7 linked regions of the Ovis aries genome follow. The protein of the gene in region 4 interacts with the protein of the main gene of each other region in a biochemical or structural test. Links are inferred from orthologs where the notes say so. Each region holds a gene or a part of one and is shown on either strand. Other genes may lie near its edges. The genes, in order: HDAC1, MTA1, EGLN2, HIF1A, KPNA6, MAPK1 and CREBBP.

Region 1 (4,174 bases), on a different chromosome or scaffold from region 4:
CCCAACTAGTGACCTCACTGAGAAACTCACAAGTAGTTTCTCAGAAAGGAAGAGATCACCCTTCTCTAAAGATGGAGGTCTTTCCACTTTTTCTCTTTTTAAACTGAGAATGTGGAGATCACAAAACTGTGCAAACTGATAAAGCTATGAAGTCACAGACTCCAGCTTCAAATGGGCCCTCACCACTGCCCAGCAAGGCTTCAAATGTTTTTACCTGCTCCCTCTTTCATAACAGCTATCTCTCTTCAAGATGCCTATTCTACCCAACTGCCCTCCCCAACTCTCACGAAAAGGAATATTTTCTTACTTCATCCTAAAAGCCCCCTCCGCTTTCCATCTTCTCTCCTTCAAACATGTTTTTTCTTGCCACTTAACCTCTCATCCCAAAGGAACTGCCTCTTGAAAGAGGGGTGTCCCTACGTGTGCTCTGGTTTCCATCTGACCTGATCTCTCCTCAGGGACCTCCATCGTTACTAGCCCCTCTCCCCAGTATCTTCAACCTCTCCCTAATTTCCATAAAAATTTGCACATACTTAACTCTCAGCCACTACATCTCTTCTTTATTAACAAGCCTCTCTCTGTCTCAACAAGCTTCCTTTTAAAGGGACTTCGTTGGTGGTCCAGTGGTTAAGACTCCGTGCTTCCACTGCAGGGGGCACAGGTTCAATCCCTGGTTTGGGAACAAAGACCCTACACACAGAGTGGTATGATTTTTAAAAAAGTTCAATCTAATGCCTCCTCTTCACTCAACCCTTCAGTCTACAGCAATTTAACTTCAGTTCTAAATGCTGCACAGGAAACAGTTCTTGCCGACACTTGGCCACTCCCTCCCTCTTTCGGCTACTGTAACCCAACACTTTCTGGTTCACTTACATCTCAAGTCATTCCCTCTGTATCTTTATTCACTTTATGAACAGTATTTTTTGAGAATCTACTACGAGCTAGGCACTGTTTTGGGGGCCTGAGTATACAAAGGTAGACAAAACATGATCCTTTTCCCTAAGGAGTTCACTGTCTGTAAGAAGTATGAATAAGTAAATGGGCAATTCCAATACACAGTGACTAATGCACAAATGTACTCTACACACCAGGGAGTACAGAGCATGAAGAACACTCGACTTTTTCTCAGTCCACCTCCTTAGAATCCCACCCTGGACCCTCTTCTCTTTTCACCCTATACAACTTCTTATATGGGATACAAGGGTAACTGCATCCTCTTCTGTAACTAAAATTATCAGCTGTATGTATATATGCTGACAATCATCAAAATTTTCTATTTTCTCATTTGTCTTCTAAACTGCAGACCTGAATGGCCACTGCCTACTGGACACCTCTACTTGGGATATCCCCCAGACATCTCAACAAATGTTTCTTTAAAAAACAAAACCCAACATTATCAACTGGAATGGCCTTCTACATTCAGCATGAAACTGCCCAAACTAGATACTTGGGTATCCTTGCCTTTTTCCTTACTTCTCCATTCATGCGTTTAACTTCTGTCCCAGAGTGATAGTTCTAAGGTACAATAAATCTGATGATGTCACTAACCTGAATACTTCAGTGATTCACCAATGCCCAACTTGTGAATATAATCCAACTTTCTTAGGGTGGTGTGCCCAGCCTTTCGTGATCTGGTCCCCATTTACTTCTCTAGCCTCATCACTTGCAACCCTTTTCTCACCCCTGCTCTACACCTTCTAACACTGTGCCTTCAAATTTATGTCTCCAACATACTGTACATCCAGCCATTTTTCAAAGGTGCTCGCCTCTCTCTTACCTCTCAACTTGTTGTTATTTTTATCCTTCCTGGGCCTAGTTAGTAACTCCTGCTTTTCAGGTCCTAACTGAGATGGCACCTCCTTGCCTGACTTCTCAGGCTGGGCAGATACTTCGCTGTGCTCCCAGCAAACTCTGAGCTGTCCTTCCTCCCAACCTGATAGTGTAGAGCAAATTTTCTGTCATGGTCTATATGCTCCTCCAGACTGAGTGAAAGGAAGGTGGCAAGATCATCCCCTGGCCTCAGCCCCTAAACGATACCTAGAACAGAAGAAGCTGCTGCTCCACAGATTTCTGTTCAACGAAAAAGTTTGTTTTAACAAGTTGCATCCTTCTTCTTCCAACCCCAGGAGTCCCATTTCCCAGCAGCAACCGCAGGGCCCGCTGGGAGACAGGGGGAGGGGAGCTGGTGACCTCTAGGTGCTGAGTCCTGCAGGCCTCTCACCAGAAGAGATGAGGAAGGAAAGGGGCAGTGAGAGATCTTAGGATTCTCAGCAGAACATGTCACCCGGCAATCTTCTTCACCAGATTCTGCCTCCTGCCTCGGACTCAGCCTCCTCTCTAGGAGGCCGCCGCAAACTCCACATCAGACTTCAGAATTCCCCACCAAGGTGACCTCACGCTTCCCCAGGCGACCCTCCTGACCTCGGACCCCCCCCCCGCCCCCGCCTCCCCTCTAAGCCTCGACCCCCTTCCCCTCAGCCTTCTCCCTCAAGCTCCACCTCCTTTCCTCTTAGCCTCCTCCCTCAACCCCAACCTTTTCAAGCCTCTGCCCTCAGCCTCGACCTCCTTCTCTCAGCCTCAGCCTCCTTCTCTCAGCCTCCTCCCTCAGCCTTTCCCAAACGCCTCAGCCTCCCCCCTCAGACCTCCTCGGCTCCCTCTCCCGGATCCCGCCCGGCTCGGGCCCGGCCCCGCCCCCGGCGCGAGGACTGTGCTCACCGTCGTAATAGTAACAGACTTTCCTCTTGGTGCCCTGAGTCTGCGCCATCTTGCTCGCCTCCCGTCCCTCCCGTCAATCGGTCCGTCCGCCCTCCCGCCGGTGGCTCCGCTCAGCGTCCGACCCGCGGGGAGGGGGCGGGCCTCCAGCGTGCTCCGCCCATCCCCGCCCGGGCTCACCTATAGCCGCGCAGCCCGGGCACGACTCCAGCCAATCAGCGGCGCTGGGACGGCCCGGAACTCGGCGGGGGGCAAGGGCAGCCCGGCGAGGCCTCGGAGGGCCCCCTGGGCCTGTACCAAGGTCCGCGACAGGGGGGGGTGGGGCTGCCCCGGGATCGTACCATTCGTCCCGGGGGAAGAAAGTGGGTCTGCTAACTTGGGTGTCCCATTCCGTTTTGGGAGACTGCTTGGCGATCAGAGGCCAACTTTCATTTGACAGAGGCCTACGATGGAAAGTGACTTGCGCAAGGTCACTCAGTTAAGTTTGGAGGGGGAGAAATATAAATTGACAAACGACAGGAAACTGCTGTAGACGAAGGACTGTGCCATAGCTTTACCGACATTATCTCGGTCATCTCTGTTGTTCCTATTGGCGGCTTTGGAGTGGGGCCTTTCATCCGCATTTTACAGACAAGGATAACGAAGTTGAGAACTTTGTGACTTCCTGGGAGTCACACAATAATCACGTTCAGTTTTCAACCACAGATTTTTTAAAACGCTTACTCGACTCCAGAAGCACATATCAAAGTGGCAGAACCCAGCCTTTCTTATTCCAAATGCGGTCTTTCTTTTCAAATGCAGTCCTTTCTTACTCCTGATGCAATTCCTAGGCGGCCTAAGGAGTGCCTTTAGATGGGAGGAAACTGTTGCTTACACCAGAGCAGAGTTTCTAAAGATACTGAAGCTGTTAACATTTTGGATAATACACAAATATGTTGTGGGGGGCCATCCTGTGCACTGTGGGCTTCCCTAGTGGCTCAGACAGTAAAGAATCTGCCTACAATGCTGGAGACACAGGTTCAGTCCCTGAGTGGAGAAGATTCCCTGGAGAAAGGAATGGCTACCCACTCCGGTATAAGGATACTGGAGAATTCCATGGACAGAGGAGCCTGGCGGGCTACAGTCCATGGGGTCCCAAAGAGTGGGACACGACTGAGTGACTAACATTTTCACTTTGTCCACTACTCTTAGATGCCAGTAGCACTCCCCCAGCCCTCTGCAGCTGTGACAACAAAAATTGTACTTAGACATGGCAAAATGTCTCCAGGGCAAGGAGGAGAGGATTGGAGGAAGTATAAAAGTGCCCCCAACCCAATCCTTGAGAACCACTGCACTAGATCAATCAGTCAATCATTATTGAAAGCTAAAGGCTGAAAAGCACTGTGGTGGGCTATTAAAGAGGCAACTACAACAATATTAATATTTGGTGAGTGCTTACTGTGTGCCAAGTAAGTTACTTATG
Region 2 (3,584 bases), on a different chromosome or scaffold from region 4:
CCTTGGGCCCCAGGGGAGCTTGTCCAAGCGTTAGGTCACGAGACCTGCGGGGAGTGGGTCCCCCCGAAGGAGGGAGCTGGCGGGGCTGGGGAGGCCCCCACACCCGGCTCAGGGCAGGGCCTCCGTCTCCCCAGGATCCTCCGTCTCATTGGGCCAGGGTGGACCAGGGGAGTGGGAAGGATACTCGGGCCTCTTCTGGCAGGAGGGATGGAGGCTGGGTGGGCGCCCACTGCGTGGTCGGATCTGCTGCTAGAGCTGCTTCTGGGCCTGGAGCCCGAGGCATGAGCTCGCGCCCCGCCCCGCTAGCACAGATGCCCCGGGCCCGTGGGCCTCCCCAGAGCAGGAACGCCCTCACCGGGTCTGCAGGCCTTGGGCTGCCTGCCCGGCCCTGCTCACAGGTGCATGGGCCTCCCGCAGAGCTGTCCTGAGAGCCGGACCTTGCCTGAGGAGCAGTGGGCGTGGGACAGGCCCTTCCAGGAACCCCAGAGCGAGTGCGGGGCTCGGGAACTGGTGGGGTGTGTGGGTGAGGCCCCAGCTCTGAGCCCAAGGCCAGGACTCGCTGGATCCCAGAGGGAGGGGCTTTGGCCCCAGGGGCTGTGTGCCCCTGGGTTCCTTGACGCTGGGTACCACAGCCCATTCATGTCTGCGGCTGCAGAGCCACGCAGAGACTCCTGGTCTCCTGGGGGCAGGGGTCAGCCTGGCCGAAGCCCTGGCTGCCCCTGAGGCCGCAGTGTGGCTCCTGGCCGCTCCTCGTGTTACTGACGGTTGGGAGCCCCGGTGGGCCTGTGTCGGCGTGAGGAGGGCGAGGTCTGCGGCCATGATAAAAGGGGCCCCAGGGCCTGACTCTGGCCCCGGCTCCTTGCTGCTCTGCCGGGCCGGCGAGGCTGCCCCTGGATGGTATGAGCACCAGTGTGGGCTGGGGGCCGTCTGAGTGTGGGTGACCCCCTTGCGTGGGGCTGCCCTGGGGTCCCCAGGGGTGGGCAGGGTGTGACGTGGCTGCAGTGTGGGTGGGTGCCCAGGTCCCTGTGGCCCCCGCCCAGATAGCCTGGCTCGGCCTCCTCCCCAGCTGCCCGCACCCCAGCCCCGCCCGCCGGCTGCAGAGCTGTGGACTCTGGGGGGCAGCGCGGGTCCCTGCGCAGCCGCCACAGGGGGGCAGCAGAGGGCTGCAGGCCGCACAGGGGCCCGAGCCTGCTCCATGCAGCCTCCTGGGGGCCTCGGGGTGGAGGGTCGTCTGGCTGTGGGCTTGGCTTTCCCTGTCCTCCTGCGTAGCCCCAGACCACCACTGCCAAGGGCACTCCCGCCCCAGGCCTGCCTGTGCGGAGTCCACATCCTGGAGGCCCCCCGCTGCCCCCCACATGCCAGACTTCCAGGCTCTCCCTGTGGGCGCCAGTGTCTTAGCCATGGGGGGTGGCTGAGGACCCCGGGCAGGAAGCTGTGCCGCTGATCTGGCTTGGGGACCCATCCTGCCCCCACCTGGTGCCCTGGGCCCTATTCTCCGGAAGGTCTGCCTCCCGCCGACTTTGCCCAGACAGGCCAGCCCAGGCTGGTCTGGGGTCTGCTTGGAGGCGTGGGTGGCGTGGGCGTGGGGGTGGGCAGGGCCGAGGTCAGCTAGGTGGGACGTCCTCTGGCTTTGGCTGGGTGGTCTGCGGGCTCCTGTCCACCTTGCCTCCCAGCCTCACCCCCTCAGCCAGGCTGGGTGCTGAGGCTGACCTGCTGTCTGGGCGCTGTCTGTCTGTCTGCTGTATAGCCCTGTCAGTCTGCTATAAGACCGGATCGGGGGCCGACGCCGGCGAGGAAGGTAAGAGCCGCCCTTGCCGGAGGGTCCTGGCGCCTGTGCGCCGGGCTGCATGCCCGCCCCTGCCTGCCTGCGGTGAGGTGGGCCTGCGGAGGCCCCTGCAGCTTGGCCTTGAGGGGGTTCTGGTGCAGGGGGGCACGGGACATGGCTGTGGGGTCTCTGCCCCCCGGCCCTGGACGTGCAGCAGCGGCCGCCTCGTCTCCCCTGTCTCCCCTCGGCTGGCTCAGGACACGTCCTCCTTCCTGATGAGACTTCCCGGCTGCGGGCTGCTGGGGCGGCTGGGCTAGAGTGCCTGCCGGGGCCCCCTGCGGGGCGGGGGCCGGGGGAGCCAGCGGGTGGGTCTGTTCGGTGGCCTGAGTCCATGTCCGCTCTGTCCTTCAGGAGAAATAGAGGAGGAGATGGAGAACCCGGAGATGGTAGACCTGCCTGAGAAGCTCAAGCACCAGCTGCGGCATCGGGAGTTGTTCCTGTCCAGACAGCTGGAGTCCTTGCCTGCCACGCACATCAGGTACCGGAGGCCTGGGCGGGGACCGCACGTCAGGGGCCGCAGGCCCGGGTGGTGGGGACCGCACGTCAGGGGCCACAGGCCTGGGCAGGGACCGCACATCAGGGGCCGCAGGCCTGGGCAGGGGACCGCACGTCAGGGGCCGCAGGCCTGGGCAGGGAGCACAGGTCAGGTACCCCAGGCCTGGGCGGGGACCGCACGTCAGGGGCCGCAGGCCTGGGCAAGGACCGCACGTCAGGGGCCGCAGGCCTGGGCAGGGACCGCACGTCAGGGGCCGCAGGCCTGGGCGGGGACCACTACCGCAGGCCTGGGGCAGGGAGCACAGGTCAGGTACCCCAGGCCCGAGCGGGGGACCGCACGTCAGGGGCCGCAGGCCTGGGTGGGCACGGGAGCACCCGCCCGCCCTGATGCCCGCCCTCCTGTGTCCTGCCTCGCAGGGGGAAGTGCAGCGTCACTTTGCTGAATGAGACCGAGTCCCTCAAGTCCTACCTGGAGCGGGAGGTGAGGCTCCCCCGCCCCCCGAGGGGCACAGCTTGTCTTGCTGGGGGCGGGGAGGCCCGTGGCAGCTGCCCTGGTTGCCGTCTGGGCTTCCCCAGCAGGCGGGTGCCCACCCAGCCGTCCTGGCGGCCATGTCCCGGCCACACTGCGCCGACCCAGCGTTGCTGGCCGGGCAACTGGAAGCGTCTGAGTTTGTGAAACGGGTCGTCAGTGCTGCCTGGGCCAGGGGACCAACCTCGTCCCACTGGTGGACGGGCCTTGCGGTGATGCCCAAGCTCCTCACCCTGTGGCCGCTGTCCTTCCCGCTGTGACCCCCAGGGTGGGTGGTTCTGGCGGGCTTGCCTGTCTATCGTCCCCTCTCCCGAGAAACGTGATGATCAGAGCCGTCTCCAGAGGACACACGCGTGTCCCTGGAGCAGCAAGACGTATCTCCAGGGAAGCAGGGGGGCCACCAGGGGTCGCCGCAGCGGGGCTCGGGCGTTATCCTGCAAGGGCAGGTCAGGGCACGGCCAAGGGGACACGTGCCGCTGGCTCCCAGGGGACCTGCCCATGGACCCCTGCAGTTCCTGCCGGAGTGTCATCCCCTGCGGGTGGCACCCTCCCCAGGCAAGGCCAGGCTCTCCCGGGGCCCTGAGGAGCGAGCGGAGGGGGCGGTGTGGACTGGGAGTGCAGGTGGCTGCCGGTGCCAGCGGTCCGGCGATCCAGCGAGGGCGGCCTGGTGTGCAGCCTCCCTGATGCCTGACTCGGGTTGGAGAACCGCCAGGCGAGAGCCTGGAGTCGGCGCAG
Region 3 (4,102 bases), on a different chromosome or scaffold from region 4:
TAGGAATGAGTGTTGCTTGTGTGTGTGTGACACTTTGCTTGTGAGTGCTCTGTGCCCTTGGTGATTGTGTCTACAAGGGTGATGTTTGGGACGCTGAGGCTAGGGAATGAGAATTCAGGCCTGTGGGTGAGCCCTGAGTCTGCTCAGTGGGTGATACTTATGCATTTCTGATGCCTGAAAGTCTGAGGCAGTGTCTAGTTAGTGCTTGACTGTGCATATGTGCCCCTGAGATCTGTGTGTGTTTTGGTGTGTATTTGGCTCTGTTGACACACCTGTGTGTGACCATTAACCCTGTGTGTGCCCCTGAAGACTGTGTGGGCTTTTGTACTACCCTAACCCCCATGCATACTTAAGGTCAGTGTTACCTCCTGTGTCCAGGTGGACCGCTGACACCTGCACGGGCTCTGCCAGGGACTGGTGCAACCCACTGAGGACACTCCCAATGGCTCTCCCTCCCCCAGGCTGGCCTTAAACCGTCCTCAAGGGAGGCCAGAGTCCCTGCTCAGCCTGGGGCTGGTGGAGGGGGCGGGGCATTTAAAATGACCTCATCTGCATTTTATCCCCCTAGGTCAGGTCGTCCAGACTGTTCAAAAGACTCTTGAGATAGTCATGCCAGTGTCTTCTCTAGCTTTCCTAGCTGGTTTTATTCGGACTCCACACAGTTGTCCCGAAGAGGCAGGGCAGAGCGGGTCAGAACCTGCACATCCCTTCTAGTCCTCTCTCCCTTCTCTCAAGGACGTTGCGGTTTTTTCTTTTTTATAAAATGTCCCTATGTAAATTACTTGCTGTCGTGCAAATTTACATACATTTCCCAACTATTTGCCCAGACGCTTTTCAGTCCTAATCTTGGGCTGTGAGAAGGCGGGGCTGTCCATGTTAATAACATCCATGATATACATGCCACTCCTAGACCCCACTGCTCATCCTCCCGCAGCGTTCTCTGCTCCAAGGAGACTGGCCGGCCTGTCTATGTAAATAGGCTGATTTACATGCCCCTCCCACTCGCTTGGCGTCGTATACGAGCCCCCCGCCCCCACCGCCCTATCCGGCCCTTCCTAACTGCGTTCCTCCTCTCGCACAAAAGGGGCGGGGCGGAGGGCGCCAAGAAGCCCGGCGTTACCGTCGGATCCATTTATTTCCCCTTTCTCCTGGAAGAGGGTGTTCGGAACTCCGTCGCCCCGCCCCGCGCGGCTCGCGCCTGCGCCTGTTCATCTCCTCCGCCCGGACGCGGTCACGTGTCCACCGGGCGAGGCGGGGGCGGGGCGTCGCGGGTGGTGGGGGCGGGGTATGGCGCGCTGTGCGGCGCAGGGCGGCTGGCACAAACGGCGGCGCCGGGGCCGGAGGAAAAAGCTCGGTGAGGAGAGCCCGGGAAGGGAAGGGAACGAGGCGGAAAAGGAGTTGGAAGTCGGGCGCCGGCGCGAGCCGGGCGCGGTGTGGGGGCGCGCGCCCGGCACTCTGGCGGAGCGCCGCGACCCCGGGGAGGGGAGGGGAGCGGAGGGGAGGGGAGGTGGGGGTGGGGCGTGGGGGAGGGAGCGCGCGCCGGGCACGTCGGGCGCCGGCCGTTGGGGGTGTTGGGGTGGGAGCCGGGAGCGCGCGTCGGGCGGAGCGGGGGGGAGGGGAGGGGACACGGGGTCCCAGCGGTCCCTAGGCCTTGCCTTCGTGTCCTGCTGCGCCCCGAGGGGCCTCCGGGCCCGCACCGGAGGGACTTGGGAGGGGGGCTCTTTTTCCCCGCCTCGTCCTGTCCCCGAGTGCGTGAACCCTCCTCCACCCTTCCCTCTGTCGCCGTGGACCCTGCTCCCACGGCTCCCTTCCGTCTGTCCGTCTCAGGACCTCCCTTCCGTCTGGGTGTGTGTCAGCCCCTAACGGGCTTTCCTCCTGTTGGGCTCGGGTCGACCCTTCCACCCGCTTCTGCTCGGCTGTCTCAGGCCCACTCTCTCTCTTCTTCGCTCTATTCTTTTTTCTGTTTCGGGAACCCCCCCCCGCCCCCCCCGCCACCAGTTTCCACTGTCTGTAGATCCCCCCCCCCCGCTTCCTTCTGTGTTTTCCAGACTGATCCGCCCCCCTCCCCCCAGTCCTCCCCGTTTGTTTCTAACTTCTAGTTCTCGCTCCGCCATCCTTTTCTACTAAGAGTCCCCTCCTTTACTTCTTTTTTGTTTGTGGGTCTGTGTGTGAGGATGTATCTCACCCGTAGCCCCCACTGCAGTCCTCTGGCTGTGGGTCACCTACCCAGCCTCACTTCTCCAGCTGTCCCGTTTATTGCCCCTTGTCTCTTCGTGACTCCCCCCAAGTCCCAGAGTCTCCGCCGCCCCCACCCCCCCTCCCGCCATGACCTCAGGTTTTGGGGTCTTTGTAGCTAAGTCTGCCTTGCCCTCTACTGCCCCTACCACTTCCCCCACTCCCCGCCAGTGCACTTGCCTGTGTAGCTCTTCTCACCTTCCTTTTTTTTCTCTCCAGCCACTGTGACAGGTCCCTTCCCAAGCCCCTAGGGACAGCAGAGGACTTGGGGACCAGCAAACACCCCCAGGGCGAGAGAAAAGCCTCTGCCACCTGCCCTGCCTCATCCTGCCCCACGCCAGGCCCAGCCGCCCCGGCCCCCGGCTGCATCAAGTGGAGGAGGAGGAGGTGGAGGAGGGTGGCACCATGGGCCTGGGCCGTGCCCTCCATGCCCGGGGGATGAAGACACTGCTGCCATGGACAGCCCGTGCCAGCCCCAGCCCTTGAGTCAGGCTCTCCCTCAGTTGCCGGGTTCAGTGTCAGAGCCCTTGGAGCCTAGCCGGGCCAGGATGGGGGTGGAGAGTTACCTGCCCTGTCCCCTGCTGTCCTACCACCGTCCAGGAGCGCCCACTGAGGCCTCAGCGGGGAGTGGGACCCCCAGAGCCACAGCTACTTCCGCCACAGGCAGCCCCCTGCGGGAGGGCTTCGGTGGGCAGGATGGCGGCGAGCTGCGGCCGCTGCAGAGTGAGGGCGCTGCGGCACTGGTCACCAAGGGGTGCCAGCGGCTGGCAGCCCAGGGCGCCCGGCCCGAGGCCCCCAAACGGAAATGGGCAGAGGATGGTGGGGATGCCCCTGCACCTAGCAAGCGGCCCTGGGCCAGGCAGGAGAACCAAGAGGCGGAGGGGGAGGGCTGCAGCAGTGGCAGCAGCGAGGCCAGCGCCGGGCTGAGGGAGGAGGTGCTGCCCGCGGCACCCGAGCGCCTGGCCCTGGACTACATTGTGCCCTGCATGCGGTACTATGGCATCTGCGTCAAGGACAGCTTTCTGGGGGCGGCCCTGGGTGGCCAAGTGCTGGCGGAGGTAGAGGCCCTGAAGCGGGGCGGGCGCCTGCGAGACGGTCAGCTTGTGAGCCAGCGGGCTATCCCGCCACGCAGCATCCGTGGGGACCAGATTGCCTGGGTGGAAGGCCATGAGCCGGGCTGCCAAAGCATCGGTGCCCTCATGGCCCACGTGGATGCCGTCATTCGCCACTGTGCTGGGAGGCTGGGCAGCTATGTCATCAATGGGCGCACCAAGGTGAGGCCGCGGAGACCTGCTGTGAGGGGTGGTGGGACGGGGTCCCCAGGCACTTGGACGCCTGTTGTTCTGAGTATCAGTGAGTTTGGGGACAGGCTTCTGGGGTCACAAAAGGGTTTAGGCAGCCCTGGTACAGGGAGTGTCAGAGCTCACTGTGGGCTCTTGTGCCCTGTGGGCCTTAGTTTGTACACCTGCAGGCTGTGGGTTTGGCCCATAGTCACCGGGATTCTTGACCTTGCCGGGGATCCTCTCAAAGAACCTGAAGAGAGGTGTCGCCATTCGTAGCTCTGCATCTGTGTCTGAGCCTTCTTGGGGTCAGCAGCCCTGTGATGTCTGTTCATGGGCCTTAGAGCAAGTGGGCAAGGTTTGTGTCTCTGTCTGTCTGCCCATCTTGTGTTCTTCCTGTTTCCTTATTTTTTCCTCCATCCAAGTGTATCTAGTCCATCCTGTCCACTGTGCGTGTCTTGTCTGTCTAGTCTGTCTCCCAGGTAGGAGAACTGGGAGAGGTAGGTGGCAGTGGTGAGGCCCATGCCAGGCTGAGGGAAGATGCCCACCATGCCTGGTGCTGGGCTGCACTGCACCCTGCATGCCAT
Region 4 (3,584 bases):
TATTAGTGTCCAAGAGTTCTATGTTAATTTCATTCCATGTTGGCACAAAAGATCTGTTTATTGTCCTACATGTACTTGACTATTACATTTCTTTGTTACCACCAGTCTTCTCAAAGGGATAGCTGAAGTTTCTTAACTGAAATTAATCAAATATTTGAATTATCTTGTATTGTGAATTTTAATAGGTCTTTATTTCATATTTTGGATTTTAAACCCTGAACATGACCAGGTAGGCATGAGAGAGATTTTAAGGCATCATTCCATAAAGCAGAATTTTGAATTTTTTTGAGAGACATTTCAGAGTCCTCCTCCTCCAACATTGTGTCAAGTTCTCATTTAAGAATTACTAATCTCTCTTTTTTGACAGTGGTATTATTCAGCACGACTTGATTTTCTCCCTTCAACAAACAGAATGTGTCCTCAAACCAGTTGAATCTTCAGACATGAAAATGACTCAGCTATTCACCAAAGTTGAATCAGAAGATACAAGCAGTCTCTTTGATAAACTTAAGAAGGAGCCTGATGCTTTAACTTTGCTGGCACCAGCTGCTGGAGACACAATCATATCTTTAGATTTTGGCAGCAATGGTGGGTCTTTAGTTATTTTGTTAATTGCCTAAACTTTACCATTTGTTGTTGATGATCATTTGGACATTGTGGCCTTTGGCCCTGTGATTTGGAGACTGTGCTCCACAGTGCTTTTAGGGCGTCTCTCCTTCCCACTTCTGATTGCTCCCAGCTGCTCTTTTTCTGTACCCTGCTGCCATGTCTTCTGCACAAGTGGGCAGTTATATGCAGCAGCCATAAGTTGAGCTGAAGAATAAGGCGTTGTACCATAATATCAGATATTGAGAAAGAAAACTAATTTCAAACTAGGTTAAACTTTAATAAATACAAGGTATGAGAAGGTTGGAATGCAGGGGTTTTTATGCTATAGATTACAGAAGTTGTCAATAGTGGATTGGTAGGATAACTCAGACTTAGAGTTATACCATAGTATCTGCAGACTTTTAGATTAAGTAAAATTTGGTAACATTTTTATTACTTAAGTCAACTAGACAAACCTTTTGTAAGAGGGGACATAAATTTCTGTATATGTTAAAATCTAGGTAATCTTTCCCCTACAGACACAGAGACTGATGACCAACAACTTGAGGAAGTTCCATTGTATAATGATGTAATGCTCCCCTCATCTAATGAGAAACTGCAGAATATAAATTTGGCAATGTCTCCATTACCTGCCTCTGAAACTCCAAAGCCGCTTAGAAGTAGTGCCGACCCTGCACTCAACCAAGAAGTTGCATTAAAGTTAGAACCAAATCCAGAGTCACTGGAACTTTCTTTCACCATGCCCCAGATTCAAGATCAGCCAGCTAGTCCTTCTGATGGAAGCACCAGACAAAGTTCACCTGAGGTAGGTGTCATAATATAATTAGAAAAGGATAACTTATAGATTTTAATGTTTGGGGATGTATTTGTAAATTTGAACCACATGTCATAGTTTTGTTTGTGTGACTTTTAGCACTTTTAAAATTACTGCAAAAGCTCTGCCTAACTTTGACCTCAGTCCCATGTTTCAGGCTCAAAAACAATCAGGAATGTGGGAAGGAGATGCCTTAACATAAGGCAAAAGGTAAAACATACATTGCTCCTCTGTGTATTTAATATCAGTAGGACAATAAAAGTCTTGAATTTAGACATCCACAGAGGGCAATACTGTGTGCTTATGACTGCTCCAAGCCCATTCATATTACCCTTTGAGTTGGAGAATTATCCAGTAGCAAAGGGCTTTGCCCAGTTTAGTACAATTTCCATCACTGTATTGACATTCTGTGTAAGTATTACATGAAAATGCCAAGTCTTACCCAGAGTAAAAACTTTACATTAAATTTAAGTTCTGTCTTGATATTAGTTTTCTCATATAAAAACAATCTTTAAGGGCTAGCTGGGCCAAGACTGACAGTATCAAATAGGGCTCTATATCCCAATCTAGACATACTTGATTTCAGAGCTTCTTATGTCTAAAAACATGCTCATGGATGGGGACTACTCATATTTGAGTATTATGAGTTTATAAGTGAGGCTCAATTAAGCCTTAAAAAGTGATAACATTATTTTACATTAAATATTTATTCATTCAAACTGGCAAGCTAAAAAAGTAGGAGATCTGACATGTCATAGTCTTCCAGAGAATGTATCTATTCGCTGGAGGCTCAGTTTCGTCTAGCGCAAAAAAGGAATCATTTTGTTTCTAATCCAACCAAAATAAATCTAACAAAAATGTTAAGACGAGGAAGGCAAAAGTTTATGCTTAGAATAGGCAGCTGTCATTTTTTGGTTAGAATTTTTGCTGAAAACTAAACTAGTACTACATTCATTAAGGTGAATACAAGTTAAGAACTTCAGTCTGCAGCCCTGTCCCTACCTCACCCCCCAGATTTGCTGTGCGATTTTTAGGTAGATCACTATAGCAACATGGCCTCAGTACACAGCTAGATTCCAGTGAGTGTATCATCTAGTTATTGGCCAGCTAGGTACCATTGGGTGTTGAACTATTAGGTGAGTTTTATTCTTTAGAATAAGCAGATAAACACATCTTTTAATTTTATAAATGATGTTATGTACAGTTAGAAATGGATATATTGACAAAATTATAAGTGTAAGTTCAAAATTTTAATTTCTCACTAGTTAGATAATTTGATAGAAGAGAAGAGTTCTGTTGTATATTCTCTGAGATGAGGTTTGCAAATTCTAACAACTAGCAAAACATTTATCCAAGCTTCCTCAGAGAAAAGTAAAATATATTAATTCTTTTTACAGCCTAACAGTCCCAGTGAATATTGTTTTGATGTGGATAGTGATATGGTCAATGAATTCAAGTTGGAATTGGTAGAGAAACTTTTTGCTGAAGATACAGAAGCAAAGAATCCATTTTCCACTCAGGTATATAAACTTGTTTATTATATATATTTTCTATTAAAATTTATTTATTAATTTTTATTCTCAAGTGGCTGTGGGTTTAACTTGTTTTTGCTTCATAAGGTATGGCCATTGTAAAAACTCATGTATCTTGTTTTAAAGGACACTGATTTAGACTTGGAGATGTTAGCTCCTTATATCCCAATGGATGATGACTTCCAGTTACGTTCCTTTGATCAGTTGTCACCACTGGAAAACAGTTCTACAAGTCCTCAAAGTGCAAGCACAAATACAGTATTCCAGCCCACTCAAATGCAAGAACCTCCTATAGCCACCGCCACTACCACCGCCACCAATGATGAATTGAAAACAGTGACAAAAGATGGTACGGAAGACATTAAAATACTGATTGCATTTCCATCTCCTCCCCACGTACCTAAAGAACCTCCTTGTGCCACAACGACACCATATAGTGATACTGGAAGTCGGACAGCCTCACCCAACAGAGCAGGAAAAGGAGTCATAGAACAGACAGAAAAATCTCATCCAAGAAGCCCTAATGTGTTATCTGTCGCTTTGAGTCAAAGGTATTTATACGTAACATTAAACTTATACTTTGGTCATTATTCTTAAGGAAATGTGTATGATGGTAAATTATTTTTAAA
Region 5 (3,584 bases), on a different chromosome or scaffold from region 4:
GTGATGGATTCAAAGATTGTGCAAGTGGCCCTCAATGGACTGGAGAACATCCTTCGGCTTGGAGAGCAAGAGGGCAAGCGCAGTGGCTCAGGGGTCAATCCCTACTGTGGCCTCATCGAGGAAGCCTATGGTATGTGCCCTCTCCCCAAACTAATGTCTGCCATAAGCAGAGTTCAGAACCATAAGTTCTAGTTCAGAACCTCTGAAGTAGTATATGTATGTGAGGGTGTATGGTCAGCATTGAATGCAAAGTTTTATCCCACAAGTTCCATTTCTTCTGAGGAGCAATAGATCAGTTCTCTTTCTGATGGGCTGTACCCAGTAAGTAGGTTATGGTACAGATGCAAAAATAAAGCTCCAGAATTGATAATAGGATAAGGAGCTGGAAGGCATGTTTTCAGCTGAGTTTCTAGCAAGTTCCTTTCTTTTGTTTTTCCATTATAAACAAGCTTATTACAAGATACTAGATAAGTTCTCTGTGCTGTACAGGAGGTCCTTGTTGTTCATCTATTTTGTTAATAGTAGTTTGTATCTAAAGCTTCCCAGGTGGCACAGTGGTAAAGAATCTTTCTGGCAGTGCAAGAGATGCGGTTTGATCCCTGGGTCATAGAAAGTCCCTGGAGGAGGAAATGGCAACCCACTCCAGTATTCTTACCTGGAAAATTCTGTGGACAGAATGTGTCAAAGAGTGGGATGCGACTGAGCAACTCGCATGCACGTGCACACACGCACGCGCGCGTGCGCACACACACAGTTTGTATGTGCTAATCCGAAACTCATAATTATCCCTCCCCACTCCAGTATTCTTGCCTGGAAAATTCTGTGGACAGAGGAGCCTGGCAGGCTGTAGTCCATGGGATCTGACTGAACAACTCACATGCATGCACATGCGCACGTGCGCACTTGCGCGCGCACACACACACACACACACACACAGAATTTGTATCTGCTAATCCCAAACTCATAATTATCCCTCTCCACCTTTCCCCCTTTGTTAACCATAAGTTTGTGTTCTGTCTGTGAGTCTCTTTTTATTTTATAAATAAGTTCACTTCTATCAGTGTTTTTAGATTCCCCATATGTGATATCATATGATAATTGTCTTTGTCTGATTTACTTTATTTAGTATGATTATGTCTGGGTCCATCCATCTTGCTGCAAATGGCATTATTTTATTCTTACTTGGGCCTGAGTAATTTTCCATTGTAAATGTACACCACGTCTTCTTTACCCATCATCTGTTGATGGACACTCAGGTGGCTTCCATGTCTTGGCTATAGTAAATAGTGCTGCTATGAACACTGGGGTGTATATATCTTCTCTCCAGATACATGCCCAGGAGTGGAATCGCTGGATCATATGCTAGGTCTATCTTTAGTTATTCAAGGAACATCCATAGTGGCTACACCAGTTTACATTCCCACCAACAGTACAGGAGGGTTCCCTTTTCTCCACACCCTCTCCAGCATTATTTGTAGACTTTTGGTTTGTTTTTGGTTTTATACTTGTCATACCTCTTGGCTTGCGGGATTTAGGCCTTGGTAGTGAGACTGCTCAGTCCTAACCATTGGACTTCCAGGGAATTCCCTTGTAGACTTTTTGATGATGGCTGGTGTGAAGTGATACCCTCATTATAGTTTCGATTTCCACTTCTCTAATAATTAGTGATGTTGAGCATCTTTTCATGTGCCTCTTGGCCATCTATATGTCTTTGGAGAAATGTCTGTATAAGTCTTCTGCTCATTTTTTGGTTGGGTTGGGTTATTTGTTGTTCTCATTGAGCCATGTGAGCTGTTAATATGTTTTAGAAATTAAGCCCTTGTGAGTTGCATCAGTTGCAAATATTTTCTTCCATTCTACAGGTTATCTTTTTTGTTTTGTTTATGGTTTCCTTGGCAAATTCTGTTAGGGGTACTGGGTTGACTCACTACTCATCTCCAGGAGATTCAGAATGGTTAACAAATCACCCAGGTTAAACCACTGATTAATAACTGACATTTTAGTTGTTTTCCTTTGGGGTTATGTAATTTTAACTGAAGATCGCAGCTCTCCTCTTTCAGATCAGAGAGAGACCTGATCATATTACTTTTGTTTATAAATGCTAATATACCTCAGGGAAGGCAAAATGCATTCATGTTTTATGGACCCATAGTAAAGCATTCCAAGTTCATTCTTGTCCCTGCTTCTTTGTTGCCACCATAGGCTTGGATAAAATTGAGTTTCTCCAGAGCCATGAGAACCAGGAGATCTACCAGAAGGCCTTCGACCTCATTGAGCACTACTTTGGTGTAGAAGATGATGATAGCAGCTTGGCTCCCCAAGTGGATGAGACGCAACAGCAGTTCATCTTCCAGCAGCCTGAGGCCCCCATGGAGGGCTTCCAGCTATAATGTCTGCCTCCAGGGAGGGGAGGGGATGGGAAGCACCACCAACCAGCGGAAAAGCAGCCCTCTGGTGGGCGGGAAGCCAGCCCCCCCACCATCAGCCACCACACACCTCTGCTGCCCTGGAAACTGTGCTCTTGACCTGCTCCGACCCCTTCCCTGGAGGGAGCACCCTCTGGACAGACAGAACCATCTGAGGCTCACGTTTGGGTTTTGTGACAAGAAGGGGATGTGTTGGGTTTTTCTTCCTTACACTATATTTTGGCTGCACATATGTCTTTAACCCAGGAGCCCAGGGGTAGACAAAGGAGGACTGAGGTAACCAATTTTGCACCTTTTTTTTTTTTTAATTTTAATTTTTTTCTTTAGTGGTGACTTCCTTCCCTATTATCTTCCTTCATCCTTCCCAGTCCTCTGCCCTGATCTGTGTAACTCTTATCTTGGGTACTTGAGCAGATGGAATATTCCAGAGGTGAGGGGGGTGGGAGGGGAGGGGAGAAATCCAAAACAAAGTGTTCTTGCTCTGACAGAATATTAATCTTGTATGCTTGGATTGAATTATTTAATTTTTTCTTTTGCACATTTTTTCTTGTATTAAGATTGCTCTTTCCCAGAGCCATGAGTTCCTGGTATTAGGAAACCCAGCTGCCAGCATTGTCTGGGACTAGAGACTGAGGGGGAGGTCACCATGCGAGAAAGGCCCCTCCCTCCCTCCAACCCCTTGCCCAGACCTCTTTAGTTTGGGAGATCCCCTTCACTCTCCTGGGGCACGTGCACCAGTGGGAGTCAGCGAGGAGGAGCACAGGCCTTCAGACAGGGCTTCCCATGTGTCGCTACTGATCCCATGTTTCCTACCCACCTTCCAGTGGTGCGACCTGACTTCATTTGTTTACTTGAAAATTCCCCTCAGAGTTGAAATGAACCTCTGAGGTAGCTGTATTTTCTCCTAAGCACGCAACAGAGGGCTGTGGTCCTTGCTTTCTCCTGAGGAGAAAGTCCTTGCTCGGGTGACCCATAAGTTGCAGAGGAGGTTGGAGTGAGTGTCATGTACTGGGATAGCCAGGGGATCCTTGCCTTTGGCCTTTCCTCTTCCTCTTCCGTAGGTGGATCATGTATATTTGACTTCCAAAGGAGAGAATGTCAAAAGTTCTGTATTTTTTTATATTCTATATATTAGGTAGGTCAATCTTAATTGGTCTC
Region 6 (3,584 bases), on a different chromosome or scaffold from region 4:
AGGAGGAAGCCACCCGGGTCGAGGAGGGCTGCCTGGGGGGCGGGACGCAGGCAGCTGATGGCGGGAGCACGCCCCGCAGCTCTGTAAGCCAGCACGAGCCCAGCCGAGGGCCGGGACGTCAGTGCTGAAGGGAGACGAGACGGTACCTTGGGGCTGGCCAGACAGGCCCAGCCTCAGCCCACGCTGACTGCCACTCACGCCCTAAGTCCTCTGGTCTCCCGGATTTCTTCTGATGCAAACCTGGCCCTTACCTTGGAGTTCAGCATGATCTCTGGAGCCCGGTACCAGCGCGTGGCCACGTACTCGGTCAGGAACCCTGTGTGGTCGTGGTCCGGATCTGCAACACGGGCCAGGCCAAAGTCACAGATCTAGGGGAAAGCAGACAGGACAGCTTCTGAGAGAGTCAGGGTCGCCAGCAGCAGAGCCGCAGACACTGGCGGGACACCAGCAGTGACGGCGGCAGCAAGTGCCACCATCCTCGGGCGGCAGAGCCGCAAGGCAACGGCACACACCCACCCTTACCTGCTCCTCACGACAACGGGAAGGCAGCCACCTCGTGTCAGGAAGGAACAGGTTGGAGGGTCTTGCCCAGAACACAATTTCAGCGGTATGCAGCCTCTACTTATCTGCTTACCCACAGCAAACCTGCTTAGGCCACTTGATAAACAGTTCTGCACGGAGAATAAGGTCACTCAAACCAGCGCCCAGTGAGCGCTGGAACGGTCACCACTGGGACCAGCTTCTCTGGCAGGGCCTCTCTCCACACGTGACCTCCCCCGCCTATTCTGCCCACCTCCTTCCCCTCCTGTAGTCAAACCCACTCCCAAAGCCGTACAAGACGCTCCACATACTGAAGACGGATCCTTACCAAAAAAAATCCAGCTTCTAATTTCTCCTGACTCACGCAAGCTGGCCTTGACCACGCAACGGTCGGGGCTGCTCCAGATTACAACGTGCAAGGAGAGTAACCGGAACCTATTTGGTCCCCAACAACTGCAGGACCTTTTAATTCCTAGCTCCTGGGGAACTAATCCGAGAGACAGAGAGAAAGAAAGAGGGAGAGAGATGCTAACACAGACGAATCCAGCAGAAGGCAGCCTGGAAGACAGAGATCACTTTGGAGGCTGACTGCTTTAATTCGGTTGAAAAGTGACAAGGGTGAGCTCAGTCCATAAAAACAGAGATACGGAGGCAGGGATATTCAGAAGACTTAACGGACACCAGCCTCTGCAGAGACCCCACAGCTGGAGGTCGAGACAACTTAAAATGACTCTGAAGGCTCCGCCCCCCTCCTCAGGGCTCGCGGCTGTGGAGGCTGGCACCCGCCGCGGCACCTCTGACCCCCGGCCCTGCCGCTTCCTCGATGCAGCCCTCTGAAGTTCTGCGTCCACGCTGCCCAGTTCCGTCCTCTGAGCCCGTCAGCGCGTCTTCAGGAGGAGCCAACGCCACGCCCGCTCCGCGGCTCTTCCAGGGCCGTGCTCTGGGCACTCTGGACAGGGCTGCACAGTCGCTGCGGTATCTTGAGGCCCCTTGGCCTCCAGCACCAGCCTCGCCTCCACAGCCAGACGGCTTGCTGAGGCCACCACACCCGGGACAGCTGCAGGCTGACGGACTGTCTGCGTGTCTGCAACGCGCCCGCGCCACACACCACCCCTTGGGCACCCTCGGCTCACACGGCGTGGCCGGGTCCAGACATGAGTCACAGCTCTCTGTGGTCAGCGGAACCCCCGGTGAAAAGCCTGCATACAGGCCCCCAGATCAGCGGGCTCAGTCCTGGGGCTGACATCTCCACCTCCTCCAGGAGCAGAACAGAAGCAGGAGCCGCACTCGGGAGGCGGACAGGACCTCCCGCCTCTACAGAGACGGCCCACGTGGTGAGAGCAAGCTAAAGACAGCCGCGGCAGAGGGCTCCGCAGAAGAAAGCCACGCCAACGTAACCCTGACCCCCATGCTGGCCACAGCTCTGGGGCCGAGCTTGCATCAAGAGGGCAGGATTTATCTTCCCTCCTCTGGAAGCTGGGCAAGCCTTTCTAACTGCCTGAACCAAGAGAACATACTGGAAGTGGTGCCACGTGACTTCCGAGGTGAGATCACAAAAAGCAACGTGGCTTCCACCTGGGGAACTGGGAGCCTCTGGCCGTGTCGTGGGGACACCAGGTCACATGGGCGGCGTGTGGCCATGCCGTGGCACTAACCACCAGGCCTGTGGGCGACGGTCTGAGCCTCCAGGGCGTCTCTCAGCTGCGGTCCAGAGGCTGAGCCCAGAGCAGTCCCCCCCCCCCCGACCCCCCCGCTGCCTGACCAAACTTCTGACCTCAGAAACTAAGCATTCAAACAGACAACTGCTGTTTCAGGCCATGACATCTTGGGGGGCTTGAGAGAGGCTCCAGCCTGGGTGGAGGGGGGAGGTAAACAGGCATCCACGTGGGGAGGCGGCAAGAGCCCCCAAGGGAGCAGGAGTCTTGAGTAGCGGGCCCAGGAACGCACGGCACCAACCAGCTACGTTGCTGGGAGCTGCGAAGCGCTGACTTCTCTAACTTCATCATCCCTTGTGCCTTTATCAGCTGGCATTTACTTTTACCGTTATTCATCAACCGGGGCTTTGTGCCTACCTTGAAGTCCAGACCCTACTGGGAAGACAAGGGAAGCGTTTCCTCCTCCCCTGTGAGTTACCAGTTTCCAGAAGAGGGAGCTGGCTTAAGGAGGACCATGTTTTTCTATTGGTATCCTGCGCTCGTAGTTGATAAAAATTACTGGCTATAATTTAACGAATCAAGAGGTACGCGTAGGGAAACTCTGTTCACGGTCATCCACAGAACTCATGCGACGCTCACTGCAACACTGAAAGCTAATACAGCGCTGACCAAAAAACTGCCAAGGCTACCCAAAACAGTGACTACAGTTCTATGCAGAGGAAGGTAGACACCCAGGATACGGTACGGAAATAGAAAGCGACCTGGTCAAATGTCCTACCCCTCCTACCTGGCGACCTTTGGGCTGAGTAAATTCAGATTCTCCTAGAACAAAAGCCCCAAAGATCTTTCATTTCGTACCTTTTGACCCTCCTTTCTAGGCCCACCCAGAAGCATACACGCTGCGACCCCAGCAGCCGGGGCTCCCCTGGGGCTGCTGGATGGAGGCTCAGCAAGCAAACACCCGGGACAAACACTGCTGGAGATGACATACCCCTGAAGTTTCACTAAGAACACACTGCCAGCACAGTCTCCAGATAGGGTCCACAACCCTCGCTCTTCTGCGGCCCTGAGAAATAGACAGGGTGCCCGCAGGAAGAGGGCCCGGGAAGGCCAGGAGAGGCCAGTGTGTACTGGGTCTCAAGGCTGGGTACCAAGCACGAAGCATGTTATGGAAGCCAAAACCAGAAGCTGACTGCTGTTGGCCTTGACTGTACAGAGTCAAAGCTAAAGGTCTAAGACACTTGACAGAGCTGACACCCTGGTGGCTCAAGAGTGAAAAATACTAACACAGAAGTCAATGGAAACAGGGAGAAGTGACCTAATTACCTGCTTGAAAATTCAAAAAAAAAAAAAAAACACCTAAATAACAAGACATCAGTAAGGCCACCG
Region 7 (4,198 bases), on a different chromosome or scaffold from region 4:
ATTTTGAACAATATACATAAACAGAAAAAAGTAGAAAGATCATTCAGTCTTTTTTTTTTTTTAGTTGAGGTACAGTTGCTTTACCATGTTGTATTAGTTTTTGCGGGTACAGGAAAGTGAGATCACTCAGTCTTAACACTTGAAGACCATCACAGACACTATATAAATGCTGTTTCTTTGAAGCAGAGTTTTTTTCTCTTTCCAAGAAGTTAACTCTGGTGCTGAATGGGGAGAAATATAGTTTTCAAGGGACGCTTAGTGGGGAGATGCCATTGGAGCCGGGGAGTGGGAGGAAGAGCGGTTTGCCCAGGTAAAGGACCTGGGAGGCAGGTTGCTCGGTGGGTGGAGAGGGAGGGAGGAGTCGGCGCTGACTCTCAGAATTCTGGCTTAGGGAACAGGTTGCTGGTGATACCTTTCAGATAAGGGCTTCGGATGAAGCGCTGGCAAGTTTTGAGAAGCAGATAAAAAGAACTGAGATGTGTGAACACCTCAGATTTTTGTGGAACCATCCTGTGGGGAGTGGCCAGGCGGGCCGATCCCCCTGGGACCCCACACCTGTCTGGAGCACCTGAGGGCTCCAGGAGGTTGTCGTGGGGCGGCGAGGGTAGCGCACCAAGGCCCGTCGAGGCCCTAAGCCCTGATGTAATGGGGCCTTCTGGGCCTGGGGACAGGCTGAGAGCGCCCGGCTGGAGGACAGCGCTCACCACCTCGAGGCAGGTTGAGGGTGTCGCACCTGGCGCCCCCGGGGCATCGGGCTGCGGAACAGGGGCTCAGAAGCCTGGCGACGCCCCTCACATCTCGCGGGGGCGTTCGAATTCCGGCCCCGCCACTTCCTGCCTCAGTTTCCCCACTGCACCCGCTCGCAGGCGAACCAGAGGGCAATGTGTAACCTGCAGAGGCCACGATACATCGCTGGCATCCGGCGAGGGGAAGTGGCCAGGCCTAGTCGCGGGGCAGCGGGGAGAGAAGCCGGGACCGAGCAGAGTCGCCCTGCGGGACAGGCGGGCCCTGTCACAGCCGACTCCACGCCCAGGGGCCCGGCTTGAGGCCAGGCCGCAGCCAGAGCTCTCACCGCCCAGTCGCCGTCAGAACAAAAGTGGCGGCGGTGCCGGCGCCCGGCGCCCCGCAGGCCGGGCCCCCGGCCGGCAGCCCCGCCGCCCCTCCGCCCGGCAGCACGACGCACGGCAACCGCGCCTTCGGCCCTTTCCGTCCGAGCGCGCTCGGCTCTTTCCGCCGCGGCCGGCGCAGGTGGAGGGGGCGGGGCGGGGGCCGTGCGTAGTGACGCCGCGGGGGGGTGACGCACCGGCGTGCCCCGCCCCCTCCCCCTCCCCGTTCAGGCTCTGGAAAGAGAAGAAAAAAAACTTTCTTTTTTTTTTAATTGAGGAATCAACAGCCGCCATCTTGTCGCGGACCCGACCGGGGCTTCGAGCGCGATCTACTCGGCCCCGCCGGTCCCGGGCCCCACAACCGCCCGCGCACCCCGCTCCGCCCGGCCGGCCCGCTCCGCCCGGCCCTCGGCGCCCGCTCCAGCGGCCCCGCTCGCCTCTCGGCTCGGCCTCCCGGAGCCGCGGCGGCGGCGGCGGCGGCGGCAGCGGCGGCGGCGGCGGCGGCGGCGGCGGAACGGGGGGTGGGGGGGCCGCGGCGGCGGCGGCGGCGGCCCCGCTTCGCGCATTGTTTTTCCTTACGGCGGCGGCGGCGGGCCGCGGGCGGGGAGCGGAGCCCGGAGCCCCCCGGTAGTCGGGCCGCGAGCGAATTAATTAAGTGGGGCGCGGGGGGGGGGGGGAGCGAGGCGGCGGCGCGGCGGCGGCACCATGTTCCCGGGGACTGCCTGAGCCGCCCGGCCGGGCGCTGTCGCTGCCAGCCGGGCCCGGGGGGGCCGCCGGGCCGCCGGGGCGCCCCCGCCGCGGAGTGTCGCGCTCGGGAGGCGGGCAGGGGATGAGGGGGCCGCGGCCGGCGGCGGCGGCGGCGGCGGCGGCGGCCGGGGGCGGGCGGTGAGCGCTGCGGGGCGCTGTTGCTGTGGCTGAGATTTGGCCGCCGCCTCCCCCACCCGGCCCTGCGCCCTCCCTCTCCCTCGGCGCTCGCTCGCGGCTCGCGCTCGCTCCTCTCCCCTCGCAGCCGGCCGGGGCCGGCGCCGACCCCAGCCCCGGAGCCCTCGCCGACCCGGCCGCCCGCGCTCGGGGCTGTTTTCGCGAGCAGGTGAAAATGGCCGAGAACTTGCTGGACGGACCGCCCAACCCCAAACGAGCCAAACTCAGCTCTCCCGGCTTCTCGGCGAATGACAGCACAGGTGAGAAGGGGGCCGGGCGGGGGGCCGGGGCCCCGGGCGTTGCTTGTCAGCCCCATCCGGAGGTGAGTGCCCCCGGGAGACCCCAACTCGGCTGCGGGCTGTGCGGGGCCCGCGGAGCGAAGGCCCGCGCAGCCCCTTCCCCCGGACCCCCGCCGCCGAGGGGGAAGTTTGTCGGAAGACTGTCATGGGGCCCGAGTGGGGCGGCACATGCCCGGTGCGCTTGGATCGCCCGGAGCTGGAGAGCCCTCCTCGCCGGGAGACCGAGTGGTACTTCCAGGGAGGAAAAGTAAAGTGGAGCGTGTGTATTCTGCGTGGTGATTCCGTCTGCCTCCCACTGCCGCCGTGTGTCCGTCCACACAAGCTTGGCTGGCTGGAGAGATGACAGCGGAGGGTACGCTGGCTAGTGAGAGAAGGAAATAGTGCTGCCGAAAGGAATCCCGAAGTGTTTTCTGAATCGGTAACATATACACAAGGCTGCGACCAGAGGACTTTCCTAACAGCAGCCAGCCCGTGAGTTACGACTTATAAGTTTCTTGGAATGTGCTTCCTGGGAAAATGCTTAGTGCTATTTTGAAAACTCTTGTCGCTGGTCACCTAAGCCATTCCATTTTTCGCAACCCAGAACTTCTTAGCAAGATGTCATAAAAGTTGCTGTGGAGTGTTAATTTCACGTGTATAACTTCGGAAGAAAGTTAAACAGCAGATTCATCTGGGCTGCAGTCTCCAGGGGAGCTTGTGGTGTTCTTACAAATGTACATATATATATATAAATTATGTTCAGGAATGTAGGAATTACCATTAAAAATTTATTTTTATCAGAATATTGAATAAATCGTTTAAACAGCTTGTCTGGAGACCTTCTTCGGTACTCCTATCAGTTACCTAAGAGAAGTAGTTTAGTTTTCTGTAGGTTTAATGATTCTGGGTTCTTCTGGGCTGGTTCACGGTAGCGTTATGTACTAGTTGTGTTTCCTCTTTCAGAGCTCTCCTTTGCAGTAAAACACAAACTTGTGCTCTGCTGCCCACGATTTGATTCCCAGCGCTGCTTGCATTTCTCCACTACGGTCTTGCAGTAGAAGCATCTGAAAATCAGTTTATAATGAATGGGTCCAAATTGAATTATATTGCTGCAGCAGTGCCTTCAGATTTGCAGTAGACACAGCTGTTCAGCTTGTGCAAATATTTCTTTGACCACTAGTGTTTTTCTACTAGTGGTCTAAATATCTCTCTATCCTGTTGAGACAAAACTTGAATTTTGTGGCTGCAGTTTTAATACAATTCCTAGACTATTATTTAATGTGGAAGTGACAGAAACAATCAAAAACAAAAAACATATCAGTCGTGAGATTCTTGTCTGGTTGAAATAAATTTGTTAAGCAGTGGAGAGGAATGAGTAAGTCTGGTGGGTGATTTTAAGTCACTAATAATACTCTATTTAAAAGCTGATAAAAATTGAGTTTGATGTTAATTTTTAAAATCGGCTTATCTGAAGTGAGAGATGTGGAAACAGGCAAGAGTTAAATGCTCTGATTTCACTCCATGAAAATACTATGGTTTTACTGCAGAATAGATCTCCTTTGCTTCGTTAATCTTGACATATTTGAGTGAAAAATCTTTGAACATATGAAATGTAGATCATACCAGACGAGTTTGGCCTTGAAGCTTGTCCTCTGAAACTGGTAACTTTTGAATGGCTTTGCAGCTTTGCTATTGTTAAATGAGGTTATTTTAGATTTTGTTTTATAAAGAGGGACAAATTAGTAACATGATACTTTAACAGAGAGGCTTGTTGCACTATATACTTTCAGCTGTTTCCAGGATGGTGCACAGTGGATTGGCCTTTGGGGCAGTTCTGTTCCAGGATGGTTAGATACTTAATGTGCTGCTAATCACAACAGAGTTTTATCAAAA

The links.
Region 1: the proteins of HIF1A (region 4) and HDAC1 form a complex in vitro, tested with the Homo sapiens proteins (2 studies listed by BioGRID). The link is inferred for Ovis aries from reciprocal best matches to the Homo sapiens genes HIF1A and HDAC1.
Region 2: the proteins of HIF1A (region 4) and MTA1 form a complex in vitro, tested with the Homo sapiens proteins (2 studies listed by BioGRID). The link is inferred for Ovis aries from reciprocal best matches to the Homo sapiens genes HIF1A and MTA1.
Region 3: the proteins of HIF1A (region 4) and EGLN2 form a complex in vitro, tested with the Homo sapiens proteins (3 studies listed by BioGRID, with this or other methods). The link is inferred for Ovis aries from reciprocal best matches to the Homo sapiens genes HIF1A and EGLN2.
Region 5: the proteins of HIF1A (region 4) and KPNA6 form a complex in vitro, tested with the Homo sapiens proteins (2 studies listed by BioGRID). The link is inferred for Ovis aries from reciprocal best matches to the Homo sapiens genes HIF1A and KPNA6.
Region 6: of the proteins of HIF1A (region 4) and MAPK1, one has a biochemical effect on the other in vitro, tested with the Homo sapiens proteins (3 studies listed by BioGRID). The link is inferred for Ovis aries from reciprocal best matches to the Homo sapiens genes HIF1A and MAPK1.
Region 7: the proteins of HIF1A (region 4) and CREBBP form a complex in vitro, tested with the Homo sapiens proteins (6 studies listed by BioGRID and IntAct, with this or other methods). The link is inferred for Ovis aries from reciprocal best matches to the Homo sapiens genes HIF1A and CREBBP.

The regions. Positions count from the first base shown.
Region 1 is NC_056055.1:235,260,668-235,264,841, forward strand, and holds the start of HDAC1 (histone deacetylase 1), read right to left. Parts: upstream 2,831-4,174; 5' UTR 2,765-2,830; coding exon 2,716-2,764; intron 1-2,715. UniProt on the Homo sapiens protein: Histone deacetylase that catalyzes the deacetylation of lysine residues on the N-terminal part of the core histones (H2A, H2B, H3 and H4).
Region 2 is NC_056071.1:67,462,104-67,465,687, forward strand, and holds part of MTA1 (metastasis-associated protein MTA1), read left to right. Parts: intron 1-1,747; coding exon 1,748-1,798; intron 1,799-2,176; coding exon 2,177-2,303; intron 2,304-2,737; coding exon 2,738-2,801; intron 2,802-3,584. UniProt on the Homo sapiens protein: Transcriptional coregulator which can act as both a transcriptional corepressor and coactivator. Acts as a component of the histone deacetylase NuRD complex which participates in the remodeling of chromatin.
Region 3 is NC_056067.1:49,455,226-49,459,327, forward strand, and holds the start of EGLN2 (prolyl hydroxylase EGLN2), read left to right. Parts: upstream 1-1,282; 5' UTR 1,283-1,354; intron 1,355-1,541; exon of another isoform or gene 1,542-1,845; intron 1,846-2,454; 5' UTR 2,455-2,690; coding exon 2,691-3,509; intron 3,510-4,102. UniProt on the Homo sapiens protein: Prolyl hydroxylase that mediates hydroxylation of proline residues in target proteins, such as ATF4, IKBKB, CEP192 and HIF1A. Target proteins are preferentially recognized via a LXXLAP motif.
Region 4 is NC_056060.1:71,948,968-71,952,551, forward strand, and holds part of HIF1A (hypoxia-inducible factor 1-alpha), read left to right. Parts: intron 1-367; coding exon 368-588; intron 589-1,127; coding exon 1,128-1,414; intron 1,415-2,820; coding exon 2,821-2,943; intron 2,944-3,081; coding exon 3,082-3,506; intron 3,507-3,584.
Region 5 is NC_056055.1:235,353,887-235,357,470, reverse strand, and holds part of KPNA6 (importin subunit alpha-7), read left to right. Parts: coding exon 1-130; intron 131-2,202; coding exon 2,203-2,390; 3' UTR 2,391-3,584. UniProt on the Homo sapiens protein: Functions in nuclear protein import as an adapter protein for nuclear receptor KPNB1. Binds specifically and directly to substrates containing either a simple or bipartite NLS motif.
Region 6 is NC_056070.1:72,077,268-72,080,851, reverse strand, and holds part of MAPK1 (mitogen-activated protein kinase 1), read right to left. Parts: intron 369-3,584; coding exon 252-368; intron 1-251. UniProt on the Homo sapiens protein: Serine/threonine kinase which acts as an essential component of the MAP kinase signal transduction pathway. MAPK1/ERK2 and MAPK3/ERK1 are the 2 MAPKs which play an important role in the MAPK/ERK cascade.
Region 7 is NC_056077.1:3,737,285-3,741,482, reverse strand, and holds the start of CREBBP (CREB-binding protein), read left to right. Parts: upstream 1-1,398; 5' UTR 1,399-2,202; coding exon 2,203-2,287; intron 2,288-4,198. UniProt on the Homo sapiens protein: Acetylates histones, giving a specific tag for transcriptional activation. Mediates acetylation of histone H3 at 'Lys-18' and 'Lys-27' (H3K18ac and H3K27ac, respectively).